Elephas maximus indicus: one gene and its partners. The protein of the gene in region 1 interacts with the protein of each later gene in a pairwise test. Links are inferred from orthologs where the notes say so. Each region holds a gene or a part of one and is shown in the gene's direction. Other genes may lie near its edges.

What was found.
Region 2: the proteins of SH3BP5 (region 1) and TNKS interact in a two-hybrid assay, tested with the Homo sapiens proteins (2 studies listed by BioGRID and IntAct). The link is inferred for Elephas maximus indicus from reciprocal best matches to the Homo sapiens genes SH3BP5 and TNKS.
Region 3: the proteins of SH3BP5 (region 1) and SOS1 interact in a two-hybrid assay, tested with the Homo sapiens proteins (2 studies listed by BioGRID and IntAct). The link is inferred for Elephas maximus indicus from reciprocal best matches to the Homo sapiens genes SH3BP5 and SOS1.

Annotation. Positions count from the first base shown.
Region 1 is NC_064845.1:36,060,643-36,066,734, reverse strand, and holds the start of SH3BP5 (SH3 domain-binding protein 5), read left to right. Parts: upstream 1-1,575; 5' UTR 1,576-1,816; coding exon 1,817-1,957; intron 1,958-3,878; coding exon 3,879-3,941; intron 3,942-6,092. UniProt on the Homo sapiens protein: Functions as a guanine nucleotide exchange factor (GEF) with specificity for RAB11A and RAB25. Inhibits the auto- and transphosphorylation activity of BTK. Plays a negative regulatory role in BTK-related cytoplasmic signaling in B-cells.
Region 2 is NC_064840.1:71,012,320-71,018,411, reverse strand, and holds the start of TNKS (poly [ADP-ribose] polymerase tankyrase-1), read left to right. Parts: upstream 1-2,467; 5' UTR 2,468-2,511; coding exon 2,512-3,181; intron 3,182-6,092.
Region 3 is NC_064844.1:24,623,294-24,629,385, forward strand, and holds the start of SOS1 (son of sevenless homolog 1), read left to right. Parts: upstream 1-2,553; 5' UTR 2,554-2,651; coding exon 2,652-2,738; intron 2,739-6,092.

The DNA of each region.
Region 1 (6,092 bases):
ACCAGCCTCTTTGCTATTTTTCAAACAGGTACCCTTTGATCTCAGGACCTTTGCTCCCTGTCTTAGAGCCTCCACGTGAAAATCCAATTACCTACGAAAACATTCTCCACAGAATAGCAAGGCCTTTAATGGGTTCCAACCCTATAAAGCTCCTACTACAGTGATCTTTTCAGAACAAAAAAAACCAAAACACAAAATGCCCCTCAGAAACCTGCAATGTACACCTGCACTACCTCCCTAGGAAATAGGACAACTTCCTTTGACAATGGACCATAATGCTGGCATGTAGGGTGGTGCTTTGCTCAAGGAGTAACCCCACAATTTAGCTTCTGATAAAACCGTCAGAAGTGGGTTTTCCAAGGTGGCTTTAATAATGCCGTTGTTAGCTGCTGTCAAGTTGTCCCCCAACTCTTGGTGACGCCATGTGTGTCAGGGTAGAACTATGCTCCACAGGGTTTTTCATGACTGATTTTTCAGAAGCAGATCACCAGGCCATTCTTCCTACTCCAGAAGCTCTGCCAAAACCGGTTCAGATTAATAGTAACAAGGAAGCCTCCACTGACAGGAGAGAGGTGGCTGAGCGTGAGGTCCATTGGCCAGAAATGGAACCTGGGTCTCCTGCATGAAAGGCAAGAAGTCTACCACTGAACCACACATGCCCTCAAGACTTTAATGATAGGCTCTCAGAAAGCTCTGTTCTCAAGCAGGTTTGTTCTCACAGAGCCAAGGGCCCACAAGCCTTGGTGATGAAAGTGTATACTTCCTGATCAGTGGTGTTATCCCTGGAGTGCTTTGCTAAGGTTACCTGACCCTGTAGTCCTCCAACCTCACAGTGGCCCTGACACTTCATCATGGTGTAGACATGTCCTTTTGTTAGGCCTTTGGTGATGCCGAGTTTCCCAGGCAAGTGTTGGCTCCCTACCTGTGGGTTGGGCAGGAAACCTCGCCAGTTCATAACCCCTTGGCTAGAGTATGCCCATCAACAGGTCTTACAGTTGCTGCTTCCTTGAAAAGGCCGTACCAACCTACCTGAATCCACACTCAGTGAATTCTCGCTGCTTCACGGCTATTCAGGTAGGACCATCCCGTGGGCATGTGTTTGGGCATGGAGTTCTGGCCAGGAGAGGCCACAGCCTGTGGAAAAGGAATCCATACGTGCAGCTCTGCGCGTCTAGGGTGGATGTTTCAGTTCCCATTTCTGGGGAAATCTCCAAGTAGATACAACTCACAAGGTTTAGCCGAGGGGACAGGGGCTTCAGAGAGCCTTGAAATTAATGTAGGGTCACTGAGTACGGGACTGTAAAGGTAACTTCAGAGAGTGGAAAAGTCCCCAACTTTCCTCCCATCCTAAATCTGCCTTGTCGAGGAGGGAGAAAGCTACCCAGAAAACAGGTGGCTAGCGTTAGGTAGTTCGCAATGTATTCGTGCTGCTCAGTTAAAAGGGAGCGGGGGCTGTCCCATTTCACCTCCCTTGAGGTCTTCAGGAAGCTGGGGTTTTTGTGACGGACACCTGGGTAATTGCGACTGGCCCATGAATGGTGTCAGCGCCGCGCCGAGGGGCGGCCGGGCGAGGGCGGAGCGGGCGCCGCTGTCCTAGCGGCCGCGGCAGAAAGGGGGCGCCCGGGCGCATTTCCTCCGCTCGCTCCGCCTGGGCCGGACCGACCCGCATCCGCGAGCGGCGTTCCTGGGTGTCGACCGCGGCGGCTGCCGGGACCGTGCCGGGCTTGGGCGAGCCTGCGGCGGCCGCGACCCCTCGGACGCTCCGGATCCTAAGGCGCGGCTCGCGTTCTGGCTGCGGGGCCCGCACCCTGCCTGCATGGACGCGGCGCTGAAGCGGAGTCGCTCCGAGGAGCCCGCCGAGCTCCCGCCGCCTGCCCGGGACGTGGAGGAGGAGGAGGAGGGAGAAGGCATGGAGAAGGGGCTGGAGGAGGAGGAGGAGGTGGATCCTCGGATCCAGGTAGGGCGCGCGGGGGCCCCTCGGGCCGGGTTCCGCGAGGGCTGCGGTGGAGGTCGGCGTCTACACCTACATCCCGCTCCGCAACGTCTAGCGCTGCGGTCCGGGGCGAGACGAGAGGGTCTGAATACTCGGTTTCACCGTTCCCCACTGAGGGGGCTGCAGTGCTCTTTGGATGCGGCCTGACTATATTGCGGGGACCCCTGCAGGCCCCTGGCGAGATTTGGGGGTCCCCGCAGCGTACCAGTGGTTCGGCGGATGCACAACAAAGGGAAAAAGGGGGCGGGGGCGCCATGCCGGTATCGGGGTGCTCTCAGCCAGGCTAGTGGCGCCGCAGGCATTGCACAGCCTCCCGGCTCCGGGAGGAGGGTTTGCCCGGCCCGCGAGCCTGGCGGGTGGGCGTTGCCGCCCCTGCAGCGTGGACTGGCACCGGTGTCCTGGGTCCGGCACCCCCACCTGGCCAGGGTGCCCAGCCTGAGCTGCCTTCCTCCTCCTTTGATTTATTGTAGGGAAACTGGGAGGGTTTATTGTCGCCATTGGCTCAAACCTCCGCTTGGCTTGAAATGGGTTAAAGCCCTGCTTTTTTCCTTGTTGTGGGGTCGGGTGTGAACAGAAACCAGGCACAACTGATGAGCCGAACCGACGCGTGGAGGAGGCGAGGGGGCTGGCCTGGCCTTCTGTGCTTCCATTTCCTAGACCAAAAACCAAATCCATTGCCGTCGAGTGAATTCGGACTGATAGCGATCCCATAGGACAGGGTAGAACTGCCCCATAGGGTTTCCAAGGCTGTAATCTTTAGGGGAGCCGACTGTCAACATCTTTCTCCTGCAGAGAGCCTGGTGGGTTCGAACGGCCAACCTTTCAGTTAGCAGCAGCTCAGCGAACACTGCGGCACCAAGGCTTTTTCCTAGAGGGATGATTAAAAAACAATTTTCAAGCCGAAATCTGTGTGTGACAGCTTAACCTCTTCACCCCTAAGCAAAAACACAGCAAATCTCTTTTCCAAGACCCATTTTTTTTTTTTTTTTTACCCTTTCCATAAATCATTTTTTTTATATTGCTTGTAAGCAATGCCATGCAATCTCTGGAGCCCTACCTAACTGGTTTTTCAGTGCGTAGATCAATTAAAACCTCGTTAAACTAAGTGGCTAGGGTTTAAATGAATTGTTTTTGGCAGATTAGCAAGGTAAAGATCAGGGGGAAAAAATCTTTCTATTAGGAATGATCCTATTAATTAAAATCACTGGTTTGCGTTCTTGCTAGGCGATTCTGTTAGCAATAGCCTTTGTTTGCAGAGTAAAGAGGAGTTAACTTCAGACTGGGTACTTTTTACAGATGTTGGTTGTAAATGTTTATTTGAAGGACTGGGATTAAAGCTAGTATAGAAAGAAAAAAGGCTAGGCAGGTTAAATAATTGGCAGTTTTGGAAAAAAAAAAATTTTCCTTGTAGAAAAACACTCAGCCGCTGATGAGTTAATGACAGAAGTCTTTCCTTGAGTTAAATCATTTCACTGGGCTTATATTTTTAGCATGTGCTGATTTCTTTTTTTAATTTTTTCTACAACGTTCTCCTTCTCTAAGGCAGAGGTTACTGTTTGAATTTGGTAGCTGAACCCTTTGTAATAAGGTGGGTTTACCTGGAGGCACTTACCTGGAATAAATATTTGACTATCGGAAAAGACAAATAATTCCTAGACCCTTAAGTCATTTTTAAAAGAGATACCGTCAAGATAAAGTTTTCAGAAATACAGACATTTCATTTGCTCCTCCAGCTCAAACTCATCTGTTTTCCTTGAAAATTAAAACCACCTTTTCCGTCTTCCTATGAATTGGGCTGGGGTAGTTTTTCAGGTTATGAGCTGAATTTTATTGGAAACAGAAGCCTGACCCCTCAAATCTTTTTTCTCTCTCTTTTCTTCACTAGGGAGAACTGGAGAAGTTAAATCAATCCACGGATGAGATCAACAGACGGGAGACTGAACTTGAGGTACAGAAAGCTTGAAGGGGTGGCTGTCACACTTATTCCTGGCCAGTTGGTTTTGTTTTAATATATAGCCAGCGGTTATTGTGAAGGCCCACCCCTGGGAGTTGAGCAATGGGAGTTGAGCAACAGCCTTGCTGTCTGTCAGGATGAAATACACCACTGAGCCCAACCAGTGGGCCAAACGCATGTGGATCCAATTTCGTGTGTTGTTTTTCATTATGGAAGCTCCATGGGGCCAAACCAAGGGCTGTGTGGCATATTACACATGCTTAAAACCCAGACTTAATGTGTCTGTGGAAAAGCTGAAAGGACTGAGGGGAATATTAGTTGAAGTCTTTTTAATGAATGAGCTCATGAAATCTCTTAAATATTTTAGGGTGGTTCCTTCCATTTGTACTTGGAACTGTTTGGTGTTTCCTCAGACTTACACCCTTTTTTTTTACTTTGCTGTACTAATAATTCACTCCCCATTCCTTTCCACTTCCCCGCGTGTTTCTTTTTTGTCTACTTGTGTGTAGAATATAATTATCTTAATGGTAAGGAAAAGCTGTTTAGACTGAGAAAGGCCTTCCTGCTGGGAAGAGTCTTGGGAGGCAAGCTTGATTTGCATTTCGGGAGCATTTTCCAACCTGAGTGTAAATAGATTAGCATTCTTCACAGCTACCAATTAGTCCTCACCCCTATTTACTAGTGGTTGGTTTTACCATCCATCAGCAAATTTGAACAACCTCTGTATACAGTGACACCTGTGAGAGCTGGAACTCGAACGGAATGCATTGTTTTTCCGGGTCTCACAAGTTTTCCACCTTTGACAGGGTACAAGCCTACTGCTCTTCTATCACTCTCTATTAATGGAAAATATTTGAGTTTTTCTTGTCTGACAGGTTTCCACGTTACATGGGTTCTGGCTTTCATAGGTTTTACTGTATATCTGAAAGCCCGTGTCTGTTAGAGCTATAGGCATGCAGGGAGCCGTTGGGAGGACCTGTTTCTGTAGCAGGAGAAACAGCAAGAAAGGTCAACAGGAAGGACAGAAAATGTGGCCTTGTCACCAGTCCCTGGGTGCAGGAGATAGGAATATAATCTACCAAGAATACACTGGCAGCCATGATTTCTAACTGCATGTCCAGGCCCTGGAAATACCAAATATGAATGAAATCTGGCCTGAAAAGCTTGGTGTTCTGAGCTCTGTGAAGGGTTATCCATGAAACTGGCTGCGATTCTCCCCAAAATGAAGTAAAATCATTGTGTTTGTTTACATTTTTTTTTCAGTTACGGTGAATTGAGTCTCTTTGTGATTTTGGACCATGGAAACCTCTCTGAATCTCAGATGTCTAATACACCCACTCCTCACTTATCGACATGGTTAGGTTCCAAAGATCAGGTCGTTATGTGAAAATCAACGATATGCAAAAATGGAGGATGACCACATCAGATCACAAAATGGAGGATGACTACATCATTACCTAACTGCCAAATCACATCATTACATAACTGCTAAACCACAGAGAATCATGGCCCAGCCAAGCTGACACATAACCTTAACCATCACAGCCAGCATTATTCTCCGCTGGCACCTTGGTGTTCATTACGGCCAGGTGTATGTCACTGATGTGCAAAATAGTCTGATAGATTTTTTTTTACTGTTGTCATAAATGCAAAATGTTGGATAATGAGATAGTTGATAAGTGAGGAGTAGGTGTGTATTAAACAAGCAGCAACAACAAAACCTGTGCCAACTCTATAGGGCTTTAGAGTTTACCAAGTGTTTTTTACAAGCTTTATCTTACTCCACCCTGTTCCAGCAACCTAGAGCTAGGCTGCCCAAGATGGTAGCCACTTTCTACATGTGGCTATTTGAATTTAAATTAATTAAAAGATTAAAAATTCAGTTCCTCAGTCACTATCGCCACATAACAAGAGCTCAATAGCTACTGTATTGGGCAGAGCAGAGAACACTTCCATCATTAGAGAAAGTTCTACTAAATGGCACTAACCTGGACAGGTAGGGAAGGCAGAGCCTACCTCTTCTCTAGGTGAGATCGTGAGGCTCAGTGTCTCACAGTTCAGCAGTGTGGCCAAGCCAGGTCTCCCAGCCTAGACCCATGCATTTTCCAGATGCCCTCCAGCTTTTATATTCGACCACGCCAAAGA
Region 2 (6,092 bases), on another chromosome or scaffold:
GACAGGAAAGAAAGAAAAGACCAAGATGGATGTCAGAGGAGACTCTGAAACTTGCTTTTGAGGGTTGAGCAGCTAAAGCAAAAGGAAGAATTGATGAAGTAAAAGAACTGAACAGAAGATTTCAAAGGGCCTCTCGAGAAAAGTGAAGTATTATCATGACATGTGCAAAGAGCTGGAGATGGAAAACCAAAAGGGAAGAACACGCTCAGCATTTTTCAAGCTGAAAGAATTGAAGAAAAAATTCAAGCCTTGAGTTGCAGTAGTGAAGGATTCCATGGGGAAAATATTAAACGACGCAGGAAGCATCAAAAGAAGATGGAAGGAATACACAGACTCATTATACCAAAAAGAATTAGTCAATTTTTAACCATTTCAAGAGGTGGCATATGATCAGGAACCGATGGTACTGAAGGAAGAAGTCCAAGCTGCTCTGAAGGCACTGGTGAAAAACAAGGCTCCAGGAATTGATGGAATATCAATTGAGATATTTCAACAAACAGATGCAACGCTGGAGGTGCTCACTCGTCTATGCCAAGAAATATGGAAGACAGCTTCCTGGCCAACTGACTGGAAGAGATCCATATTTATGCCTATTCCCAAGAAAGGTGATTCAACCAAATGTGGAAATTATAGAACAATATCATTAATATCACATGCAAGCAAAATTTTGCTGAAGATCGTTCAAAAACGGCTGCAGCAGTAAATCGACAGGGAACTGCCAGAAATTCAGGCCGGTTTCAGAAGAGGGTGTGGAACCAGGGATATCATTCCTGATGTCAGATAGATCCTGGCTGAAAGCAGAGAATACCAGAAGGATGTTTACCTGTGTTTTATTGACTACACAGAGGTATTTGACTGTGTGGATCATAACAAACTATGGATAACACTGCGAAGAATGGGAATTCCAGAACACTTAATTGTGCTCATGAGGAACCTTTACATAGATCAAGAGGCAGTTATTTGGACGGAACAAGGGGATACTGATTGGTTTAAAGTCAGGAAAGGTGCACGTCAGGGTTGTATTCTTTCACCATACCCATTTAATCTGTATGCTGAAGAAATAAAACGAGAAGCTGGACTATATGGAGAAGAATGGGGCATCAGGATTGGAGGAAGACTCATTAACAACTTGCGTTATGCAGATGACACAACCTTGCTTGCTGAAAGTGAAGAGGACTTGAAGCACTTACTAATGAAGATCAAAGACCACAGCCTTCAGTATGGATTACACTTTAACATAAAGAAAACAAAAATCCTCACAACTGGACCAATGAGCAACATCATGATCAACGGAGAAAAGATTGAAGTTGTCAAGGATTTCGTTTTACTTGGATCCACAACCAACAGCCATGGAAGCAGCAGTCAAGAAATAAAAAGACGCATTGTATTGGGCAAATCTGCTGCAAAACACCTCTTCAAAGTGTTGAAGAGCAAAGATGTCATCCTGAAGACTCAGGTGTGCCTGACCCAAGCCATGGTATTTTCAATCGCATCCTATGTATGTGAAAGCTGGACAATGAATAAGGAAGACCGAAGAAGAATTGACGCCTTTGAGTTGTGGTATTGGAGAAGAATATTGAATATACCATGGACTGCCAAAAGAACAAACAAATCTGTCTTGGAAGAAGTGCGGCCAGAATGCTCCTTAGAAGCAAGGATGGCGAGACTGCGTCTTACCTACTTTGGACATGTTGTCAGGAGGGATCAGTCCCTGGAGAAGGACATCATGCTTGGCAGAGTACAGGGTCAGTGGAAAAGAGGAAGACCCTCAAGGAGGTGGATTGACACAGTGGCTGCAACAATGAGCTCGAGCATAACAACGATTGTAGGGATGGCGCAGGACCGGGCAGTGTTTCGTTCTGTTGTGCGTAGGGTCGCTATGAGTCAGAACCGACTTGACGGCTCATAACTACAACAACAATGACATACAGAGATCAAAAGGGAATACTGAGAGAGAAAAGACAGCATTTTTAAAATGACCAATGGGCTAATTATAGTTATGTTTTATTGAGGCCTCTGTGTATGTTAGCTCATTTAATCGTGCTAATAATTCTGTGAGACAAGTATTATTCCATTTTTCCTTTTCCAGACAAAAAGGCTGATAGATGACAAACGACACATTCTCTGTTTGCTTTGAGTGAGTTACACCTTAAGAGCTGGGTCTGTAGCATGAAAAGGAAGACTGAAGGAGACTTGGCAACGTACAGAGCACAGCAAGGCAAACTGAGTGAGAAACGCAGGAAGTTTCCCAGGTAGGAAGTGGCCGGCTCCAACATTCAAATCTCCCCAGCCGGCCCGCCAAGACGTCACAAAGCCCGCCCCTCAGCCACGAGACCACGCCCCCTTCCGTAGCCATTCTCTGAGCTCCCAATACATCCCGCCTTCTCTTCCACCCCGCCTACCCCGCGCGGCATCATTTCCTGTGCGCTGAGTGCTGATTGGTTCAGCGGTCGGAAGTGAGGGCGGGCGGTGAGGCCGTTGCCGCAGTGACAGTGCTGGGGGAGTCCGAAGATGGCGGCGTCGCGTCGCTCTCAGCATCATCACCACCATCATCAACAACAGCTCCAGCCCGCCCCAGGGGCTTCAGCGCCGCCGCCGCCACCTCCCCCCCCACTCAGCCCCGGCCTGGCCCCGGGGGCCACCCCAGCCTCCCCCACGGCCAGCGGCCTGGCCCCCTTCGCCTCCCCGCGGCACGGCCTAGCACTGCCGGAGGGGGATGGCAGTCGGGATCCGCCCGACAGGCCCCGATCTCCGGACCCGGTTGACAGTACTAGCTGTTGCAGTACCACCAGCGCAATCTGTACCGTCGCCGCCGCTCCCGTGGTCCCGGTGGTTTCTGCTTCATCTGCCGTCGGGGTCGCTCCCAACCCATCCGGCGGTGGCGGTAACAACTCACCGTCGTCCTCTTCTTCCCCGACTTCCTCATCATCCTCTCCATCCTCTCCTGGATCGAGCTTGGCGGAGAGCCCCGAGGCTGCCGGCGTTGGCACCACAACGACATTGGGGCCTGGGACGGCGGGACCTGGGCCGGGGGTCGCCGCAGTGAGCGGGGCCCTACGGGAGCTGCTGGAGGCCTGTCGCAATGGGGACGTGTCCAGGGTAAAGAGGCTGGTGGACGCCGCAAACGTGAATGCTAAGGACATGGCCGGGCGGAAGTCTTCTCCCCTGCACTTCGCTGCAGGTCAGAGGTTTTAAATTGTTTATTAAGAGTTTGGGGCTTGGAGGCGGGGGTCTGGGTACGAAAAGAAAACTGATTTAAGTTGATGGGACAAAATGGAGCGTGGTATAGTTCTTCAGCACTTCACCTGAAGACAAGACTCCTTTCTTTAGGTAGTGCCCAGGTGACGGGGGCGTGGTAAGGGGCTGTGTGAATCCATAGTTTAGTGTTTGCACAGTGCTACTTGTACTCATACTCCGTAGTGGTAGTCTCTGGATATAGGTATGCTCGAACTTTTCAGTTCTGAATGTGTAGGAATAAAGTTAGATTTGGGCAACCTTAGAGTAATTTTCTTTTGTTTGCTTGATCATTTCGTTTTTACAACGACGATATGCCCACGAGAGCAGGTCTAGACCAGAAGAAGGTTAATGTGGTTCAACGAGTGTTTAAGCATCAGTTATGGTTTCAGTAAGCCAGTGGAAAACACAAATAAAGTTTGTGAAACTCTTCTTTTTCTCAAGAAGTGTACAGTGTAGTTGGGGAGATCAAAATATTCCTGTATGAAGCAACTGGAGAAGAATATTTGGATGCATTATGTCATGAAAGTAGAAATACATAATAAGTTCTCAAAAAAAAAAAGCTAATTCTTAAGCCCTGGATTCCACGCTTTATTCTTCACCTTTTTTTTTTTAAAGCATACAGCTGAGTATATTCTTTTAAAAACACTTAGTGTCTTAAAAAAATGGAGAAATAAAAAAAGCAAAGGACCATAACCTCACTGTCCCCATACCTACTATTGGTATTTAAAAAAGATAAAAGTAATAATTTTATATGCATGACACACTTTACATTAGAAGTGTATACATTATATATAATACAAAATTTCAAATAGGACAGAAAGATAGGAAGTGAAAAGTTAAAGCACCACACGCCCTCGCATGTCAGACATGCCACACTAAAGCTATCTGTGGTTAAGTTTCTTCCCGGGTTTCTGTTTGTCACTCCTTCCACTTGTTAGTGATAAAATAAGGAACCCTGGCGGTGCAGTGGTCAAAGCAATCAACTACTAACAGAAAGGTTGGCAGTTTGAAACCACCAGCTGCTCTGCAGAAGAAAGATGTGGCAGTCGGCTTCTGTAGAAATTTACCGCCTTGGAAACCCTGTGGGGTCACCATGAGTCGTAATCGACTCGATGACGGGGATTTTGGTAATGAAATGTATGTTAAGAACTTACTATATGTGTTATTTATTTTTACATCCAGTCAGAAAATAACTGTTATCCTCATTTTACAGATGATAAATACGAGGTACTTACTGTTTAAACAAGCCCAGGTTCACACAGTAAATGGTAGAACTGGATTTGAACTCAGGCAGTTTGATTTTAGAGCTTGTGAAATCAAACTTAAACTATCATAACTTAACACCTGGGTTAAGGATACTTTAAAGTTTTGTGAGTCACTGTGGTGCAGAGTTCTGCTTTGGTAACATTTTGGGAGAAGTAGTAATCAGGGGGCATACATTGCAAGAGTAGCTTTAACACTTTTTTACTGTACCCTATACTTAGAAATATATAAAATATAGGGTTGCTATGAGTCGGAAACGACTCGACGGCACTGGGTATACTTAGAAATATATTTTATACTGTGACATATACATACACAACTGAATCAAAAGTTGCAGGAAACAGTACTTTCTCTTACTGTGCGTGGTGTACACTGATATTTCATTTTTCACAGATTCTGTTTGTGACCCACTCATATAGCAGCTTGAGAAACACGTTTACAGAAAATCACTATGACGTTAGTGGATCCATTCTTGACGTATAGACACTACTATTAGGGATGTAGTGAACTGAATCCTAAACAGGCTTCCATCCAACTAGATATTTACTCAAGGATGTTGCTTATTTTACATAAAATACCCGTTGCCATTGAGTCAATTCCGACTGATATCAACCCTATAGGACAGAGTAGAACTGCCCCAGAGGGTTTCTAGGGAGTGGCTGGTGGATTTGAACTGCTGACCTTTTGGTTAGCAGCAGAGCTCTTTAACCACTACGCCACTAGGACTCCTTACATGAAATAGTATTTCTTTTTCTTTAAGTTAAATAAAAGATCTAAGTGTTTTATAACTCAACCTAGGTTGTTTACTTTTGCGTAATTTGTTGTAAATTGCTATTTTAAAACATGTTTTACACATCTTGCAGTTTGTTATCATACCTCTTTTGAAGTAATCACTAACAAATGACAGCTACTTAGAATTATACCCTTTTCTCGCTTATCCACATAGTTAGGTTCCAAAGACCAGGTCGTTATGCAAAAATGATGGATGACCACATCAGATCACAAAAATGGAGGATGACTACATCATCACGTAACTGCCAATTTGCATTATTGCATAACTGCCAAACCACTGAGAATCATGGCCCAGCCAAGTTGACACATAACCTTAACAGTCACGGCCAGTGTTACTTTTGCCTCACATATCAGCATTCGTTACTGCCAGACATGCATCATTAATGTGCAAAATAGTCAGATAGTAGATCTTTTACTATTGTTGTAAATGCAGAATGTCAGATAATGAGATGGTTGATAAGTGAGATGTATTTGTTTAATGGACTTGTTTAGAATTAGTCACACATGAAATAGAGCTTGTCTTCCAAATCAGGCTCTCCTGTTTGCCGCAGTGGTTAACTTTTTATTCTATTTTTGAGGTATATGTGTACCCAGATAATCTACAATACAAACAGTGAAACAGTACTGTTATGCGATTCTAACCTTGAACTGACTAAGAAAAAAAATTTTAGCTCGATTGTGAAAAACAGACAAAACAATAAACTTTTCAGTCTAAAAACATAATACCCTCTAGTGAGTTACCATACTTTCAGGTTTATACGCGTAAAAACCAAAAACCAAACCCATTACCACTGACTCAA
Region 3 (6,092 bases), on another chromosome or scaffold:
CTGCAAGTTCCCTCCAGCTGCTTGCCCTCATCCTGCGGCCAATATTTTCAAGCTAATGAGAAGCTGAGCATGCCCAGCCCAGGCTGTAATCCATGTTTTTAGGGCTTGTTTCCTTCTGCAGTCAAATTAGGAACTGGGGAATTGGAGGGACCTCGGACGTCAAGTCCAACTTCCAAACCCTCCCCGACATCCCGCGTGAGTGAATGTAGTTTTTACCTGCACACCTCCCAAGATCGCACGTTCCCTGTGGACAACTCTGTGTAGTCTTCCTTCCTGAAAGTTCCCTTCGGGCGAGTTCAGCTCTTTCAGGAATATTGAGTGCCTACTGTGTATTGTGTACCAGACACCGTAGGTCTTTGGGATACAATGATGATCATAAGATTGCTGATTTCTTGGAATGTACATTCTAGTGGAGGAGACCAACAACTAAAAATAGAGGCTGTGGTTAAGTGCTAGCCAGAAAATAAACGGGGCTATGGTAGAAAAACACAGGCGGGAAATAGAGTGATCAAAGACGGCTCTTGGAGATGGTGAGGTTTAGAACCAGCCAAGTGTACAGCTAGGAGCAGAGTGAGCTCCAGGCAGAGGGAAGAACAAAGCCCTTGAGGCTGGAAAGGGAGTTTTCTAGGAACGGACAGAAGGCCAGTGTGACTGCAGTGTGGTGAGCCAAGGTTGGGAATGGCGAGAAAAGGTTGAAAAGGTACATAGGAGCCAGATGCACAGCTCTGTGGGCCATGGTAAGAAGCTTAAAATGTATTAAAAAGCAACGGGAAGTCAAGGAAGAGTTGTGGCAAAGGTGAGGTCTTAGTTCAATTACCAAGAACCACACAAACTATTTTTTCCAATCACAGTCCTTTAGATATTTGAAGAGACCCTTTTTCATGCCCCCAACTCCTTCCAAGGTATGGTTTCTCTACTCCTTACCCAGAGGACTTATAAATAGAGCTTAAAATCTTATTCTGAACCCTTCGATAGTGAAAAAAAATTTTATGTAAATCATGTGTGTACATTTTAAAAGGGAAGGTCTTAAGACTTTTATCCTGTAAAGATTAATAACCAGTGTTTAAACCTTTCTCATCAATGTCAACTTCTCTAATAGTTTCCTCATCTGTGAAGTGAAAACAATAGGGTTGCTATGAGGATTAAATGAGATGATGCTCAAAAAGTTTTGAATGATAAACTAGGAGGTGCCTGCCATAGAGTGCTGCTGTTAGAAACAAACACCTACAGCCCTGGGATGGAGGAACAATTTACAGATCACTCTCCTCCAGGATCCCACAAACATTCACTAAGTGCCTAAAAAAAAAAAAAAAAGTGCCTATTCTGTGTAAAACCCCTGGTAGGAAAGATCTGCCTTCCAGGAGTTATTATCTGTTCTTATCTAGTCGAAAGAGCCAGGAAAGGTACGAAACAGGACAGACTAAGCTTCGTGAGAGAGGTGTAAGTACTCTGGGATTTGGGAGCTTCAGGAGAGGTCTCAACTAGTCTCCACTGGAGGACTTCACATTTGAAGTGGGCTAGAGGGATGAACACATGTGATGTAAGAACACGGACACGCAGAAAATCAACACTACACGTACACATTTGGGCCTTGGTGCCTGGAAACGCTGCAGTCACTTTTACTAGCCCACTAGTATTGAGCAGTAGGTTCTGTGAGAAGGGAACTATCTTTCGTCCAAGCTCTGGACAGTCCTTATCCAAATGTTCGGGAACAAGGTACACACACAAAAGCACCTCTTTCCGAAACGAAAGGCCCAGGGGCTCCGAGAGAAGTGTGCGATCCCTCGCGACCGATGCACACAATGGGGGCCGCTTCCCGGAGCTCGCCACCGCCCGTCTCTCCCCGCCCCCTCTCCCGGCCCCGCTCCGTCGGGGTCCGGCTTCTCCGGGCTCCTTCGCCCCTCCCCTGCAGCCCCGGGGCGCAGCCACAGCCCGGCCGGGCGCCCCCTCCCCGCGAGCTTCGCCTCCTTCCCGGGTGAGCCAGAAAACCCGGAGCGAGCCACTCCGGCCCGGCGGCGCATGCTCAGTAGCCAGCAGGTTCAGTTCGCAAGTAGGAAGCTCCAGCGCTACACCGGCGTCGGCGGCGGCCGCGGCGGCACCTCAGGCGGCCGGATTGCCCGCAACGACCTCGGGCCCTTCCCCTTCCCCGCGAGACCCCGGCCCCGCTCCGCCCCGCGCGGAGCTTCGCGCGTTTCGGGGTCCCTGCTGCGCGGAGCGAGCGCCGCTCCCCGAGCGCCCCTCCACACGCCCTCCCCCCGCCGCCAGCTCCGCCGCGGGGCCAGGCCGGGCCCGGGAGCGCAGCCCCGGCGGACGGGCGCGCGGCGGCCGCAGCGGAGGGCAGCCCGGGGCGGCGCCGGCGGGCCGGGGAGGGGTGGGGGCCCGGCCCCGGGGCGGTGGTGCGGGATGCCGCCGCCGCCGCCTCCGGGCTGCGTTCGCTCTTGGCGGCTGGTGCCCGTGTCGGGTGGGTGGCCGGGCGCGGGCCTCGCCCCCCAGGCCCCTCGCCAGGGCTAGCCCGGCAGCGCGGCGCCCCGAGGGGGCCGGGCCGTCCGGCGGGGCCGCGGCCCTGCTCAGCGCAGCGAGCTCGCCCTCTCGCGGCTCCTCGGCCCGGCCTCCGCCGCCCCCTCCCCGCCCAGAGGCGCCCCGGGGGCACCATGCAGGCGCAGCAGCTGCCGTACGAGTTTTTCAGCGAAGAGAACGCGCCCAAGTGGCGGGGGCTGCTGGTGCCAGCGCTGAAGAAGGTGAGGAGCGCGCGGGACCCCGCTTCCCGACTGCAGCCCCGGCGAGGGCGCCGGGGCCGGCCAAGGGCTGGGGAGGCGGGGCGCGCAGGGCCGTCTTTCTTCCCGGCCTCACCGAAGGGACGGCACGCTGAGAGCTTCCCCACATTGGGCTGGCTCTCGGTGTTGACATTACCCGGGCTGTGGGAAGGCCGCAGGAAGCCAGGGAGAGTTGTCCGAATAATCCAACCACTGAGCGAGGAATGCCCTGCCCCTTGATTCGGAGACACCAGTTGGAGGAGCCCGGGTTTTTAGTGGAGGTCAAAGCAGGCCACTTTTCCGCCTTCGTTTTACCAGGAGCTGCTGTCAGCCTCCGTTGTAGGCGTCCAGCCTGCTCATTTTAGTGGGCTCGAAGAGTGCTCTGGCCAGAATGCTTGCCCTAAGTAATTGCAGAGCTCTCCTGCCAGTAGCAAGAGAAACACGGCTTGCTCTGCTCGACCTCAGTAATCACTCCCCATTCCTCCAGATTCCTCCACTCTTCCGAGTAACAGGGGTGGGTGCAGATGCCATTATTTTAAGGGTTTTGGTTGTTGTTGTTTTCTGAGAGCCTGAAAATCTGAATCTGTCGTTTGGTTTGTTGATTACAAACCTTTTTAACCTTTGTATGTTTCTTCAGGTTTGCCACATTGTTATCTCAGGTTCTACACCGTGTTCTGTGCTTTTAAATGTTTCAGTATAATTAGGAAATGTTGCTACATTGTAGTAGCTTCGAAAAGCAACGTTGTGACTTAATATACACCTCAGAACATCAGAGACTGATGTGTTGAATGACTTTAAAAACAACTACCAGAGTATTTTTTTGTTTTCTTCTTTTCTCTTACCTTTTCTGTAAGTATAGAGATCGCTTTACTCTTCTTGAATCCCGGTTTCTTGTTGCTCAAAGAATGTTTCATGTTATCTTGTTAAAATATATTTTAACAATTGAGATTATCGTGTACTTTTTGTGCAAAATATTTATACTTTTGAAAAATGTTTCTTAAAAGGTGTCTGTTATTTGTCAAAGGCCGGCAACTTTTACTTTCCCTTTTGCCTTGTTCTTCCCCTCCCCCTCTTTGGTTTTTACTGTGGAAACTAGTTAGTTAGCAGAATATCCTCAAAATTTCAGGTTTAAGTTACTGTCTTTTTTTCTCAACAATTTTACAAATACTGTTGACATGTTGTTTTTTAAGAAAACCAGAGAGACAACGTATGGCTTATATACCTTATTCCTCCTTAGAAATCCCATCAGGCTTTCCATCTGTTTGCTTTTGCTTTATTTGCAGGCTTGGCTTTTTAGCTTGTAATAGATGGGGGGGGGGGTGGTAGGAGGTCTCTGTGATGCTAGAAGCAGGTATTCTGACAGGGAGGTAGACAAATTGCTTGAAAACATAAAAAGAACTCAAACATTATCAGTTTGGGGCCATTTTGTTCAGAATCAGTTAACTCCTAATTTGAGGTAACTGCCACGATAACCTATCAGTTAAGGGTCCTGTGAAGTAGGGGAAAGAGTGGTGTAGGAGTTGGCAGAGCTGGTCTAACTCTGCCATGCTGGTGGCCATTGCTGAATTCTGTCCATGGAAGCATTTTGTTGGCTGGCACAATATTGTTTTGTTATTTTTAAATGTAATTTGCTGCCAGCATTTAAAAACGGGAGATATTATGTGCAATTTGAATTTTCAACATTTCTTGAAGAATAGGAAGATCTTTTTGTATTGAACTGACATTCAGGTAAGGCTGGAGCTGAGTAAATGGCTGATCCCTTTGAGCAAGGCATGTATCTCCAGTTTACCACAATCCCCACTGGTCAACTTTGCTTATTACTGAAACCAGCATTCACTTTAAGCAGAGAGATGACTATCTGATGGCAGTAGAAGTGATGGTGAGGAGGCAAAGGCGAAAGCGTACACATCAACCTGATATGTAATGTTCTTCCAATCCTCATTCATATACTCATTATTGATTCTAAGCCACCTAAGATTGAAAATATATTTCATATCTGGATATGCTCTAGGGAGCTGAACACCTGAATTTTCACCTGCCTGCTGAACATTTCACCTGGGTATCTCCACATCTTGAACTCTTCCATCAGACTTATTGAACTGTTTGTGTCCAACTGTTGTGTTCTCTTACCTGAGGCTGTTTATACTTGCTGTTTCCTTCACCTGGGCCGCCCTTCTTTGCCTGGCCTAACTCTACTCCTTCAGAACTCATTCTCCATGTCAGAGTTTTTCTTGAATCTACAGGGCTGAATTGGATAGTCCTCCTTTGTTTTCTTTTAGCACTCCAGGCTAGTACTTAACAGTGAATTTTAAGTTCTTATTTACTTGTCTAAGGAGCTCTAGTGGTGCAAAGGTTCTGCCACTAAACAACAGATTGGCAACTTCATGGTAGAAAGGCCTGGTGATCTACTTCCCTTAAGATTACAGCCTAGAAAACCCTGTGGGGCAGTTGGCGGTCACTGTGAGTCAATCATCTCGCTGGGCACCTAACAACATTTATTTGTCCCCCACCTTTGCTACTAGATTGGATGCTCCTTGAGAACACAGATGATGTCTTACTTTTCATTTTGTCTCCCATGCATATTCAGACACCTCGTAGGCACTCGTATTATTTGAATGAATGGGTGTGGGAATACGTATATTTCTTTCACGTCCCTTAAACACAGTATTTCCCAAACTAAAACCATCAACTCTCTTCCTTCCACCTAACATTTTCTAGTATTTCTTCTTGATTTATGAAGTCTCTGGGTGGCACAACTGGTTAAGCGCTTGGCTACTAACTTAAAGGTTGGTAGTTCGAATCCACCCACAGGCACCTTGGAAGAAAGGCCAGGCAATCTACTTTTGAAAGTGCACAGCCATTGAAAACCCTAGGCAGCGCAGTTCTACTCTGACACACGTGGGGTTGCCATGAGTTAGGATCAGTTCGATAGAAACTGATTTAATGGCCTTATTATTTTATTTGACTGGCTCAAAACTTTGGAATCATCTCTGATATCTGTCTTGGCATTATTGTCCACAACCAGGCAAAACTTAGATTTGTTGCCCCTTGACGTGTTCTTGGAAGCTATCCCTTCCTACTCCAGTTGCTTTAATTGAGTTCCCTTTCCCAAACTACTGCAATAGCCTCTTAAGTGAGTTCACCGTCCCCTCCCACGTCTCCTTTGTGTATTTTGCAAATTTCACAAGTTAAAGTACACTTCTGAACATGTCATGCCCTTGTTCAGAATAGTTGATGTCTTTTTAAGGGCCTAGAATGAAGTATGCAGTCTCTAGCGTGGAGCTGATAGTGATCATTGATCTAGTTTTTCTAACTAAATTGCTTATCATAATCATTCAT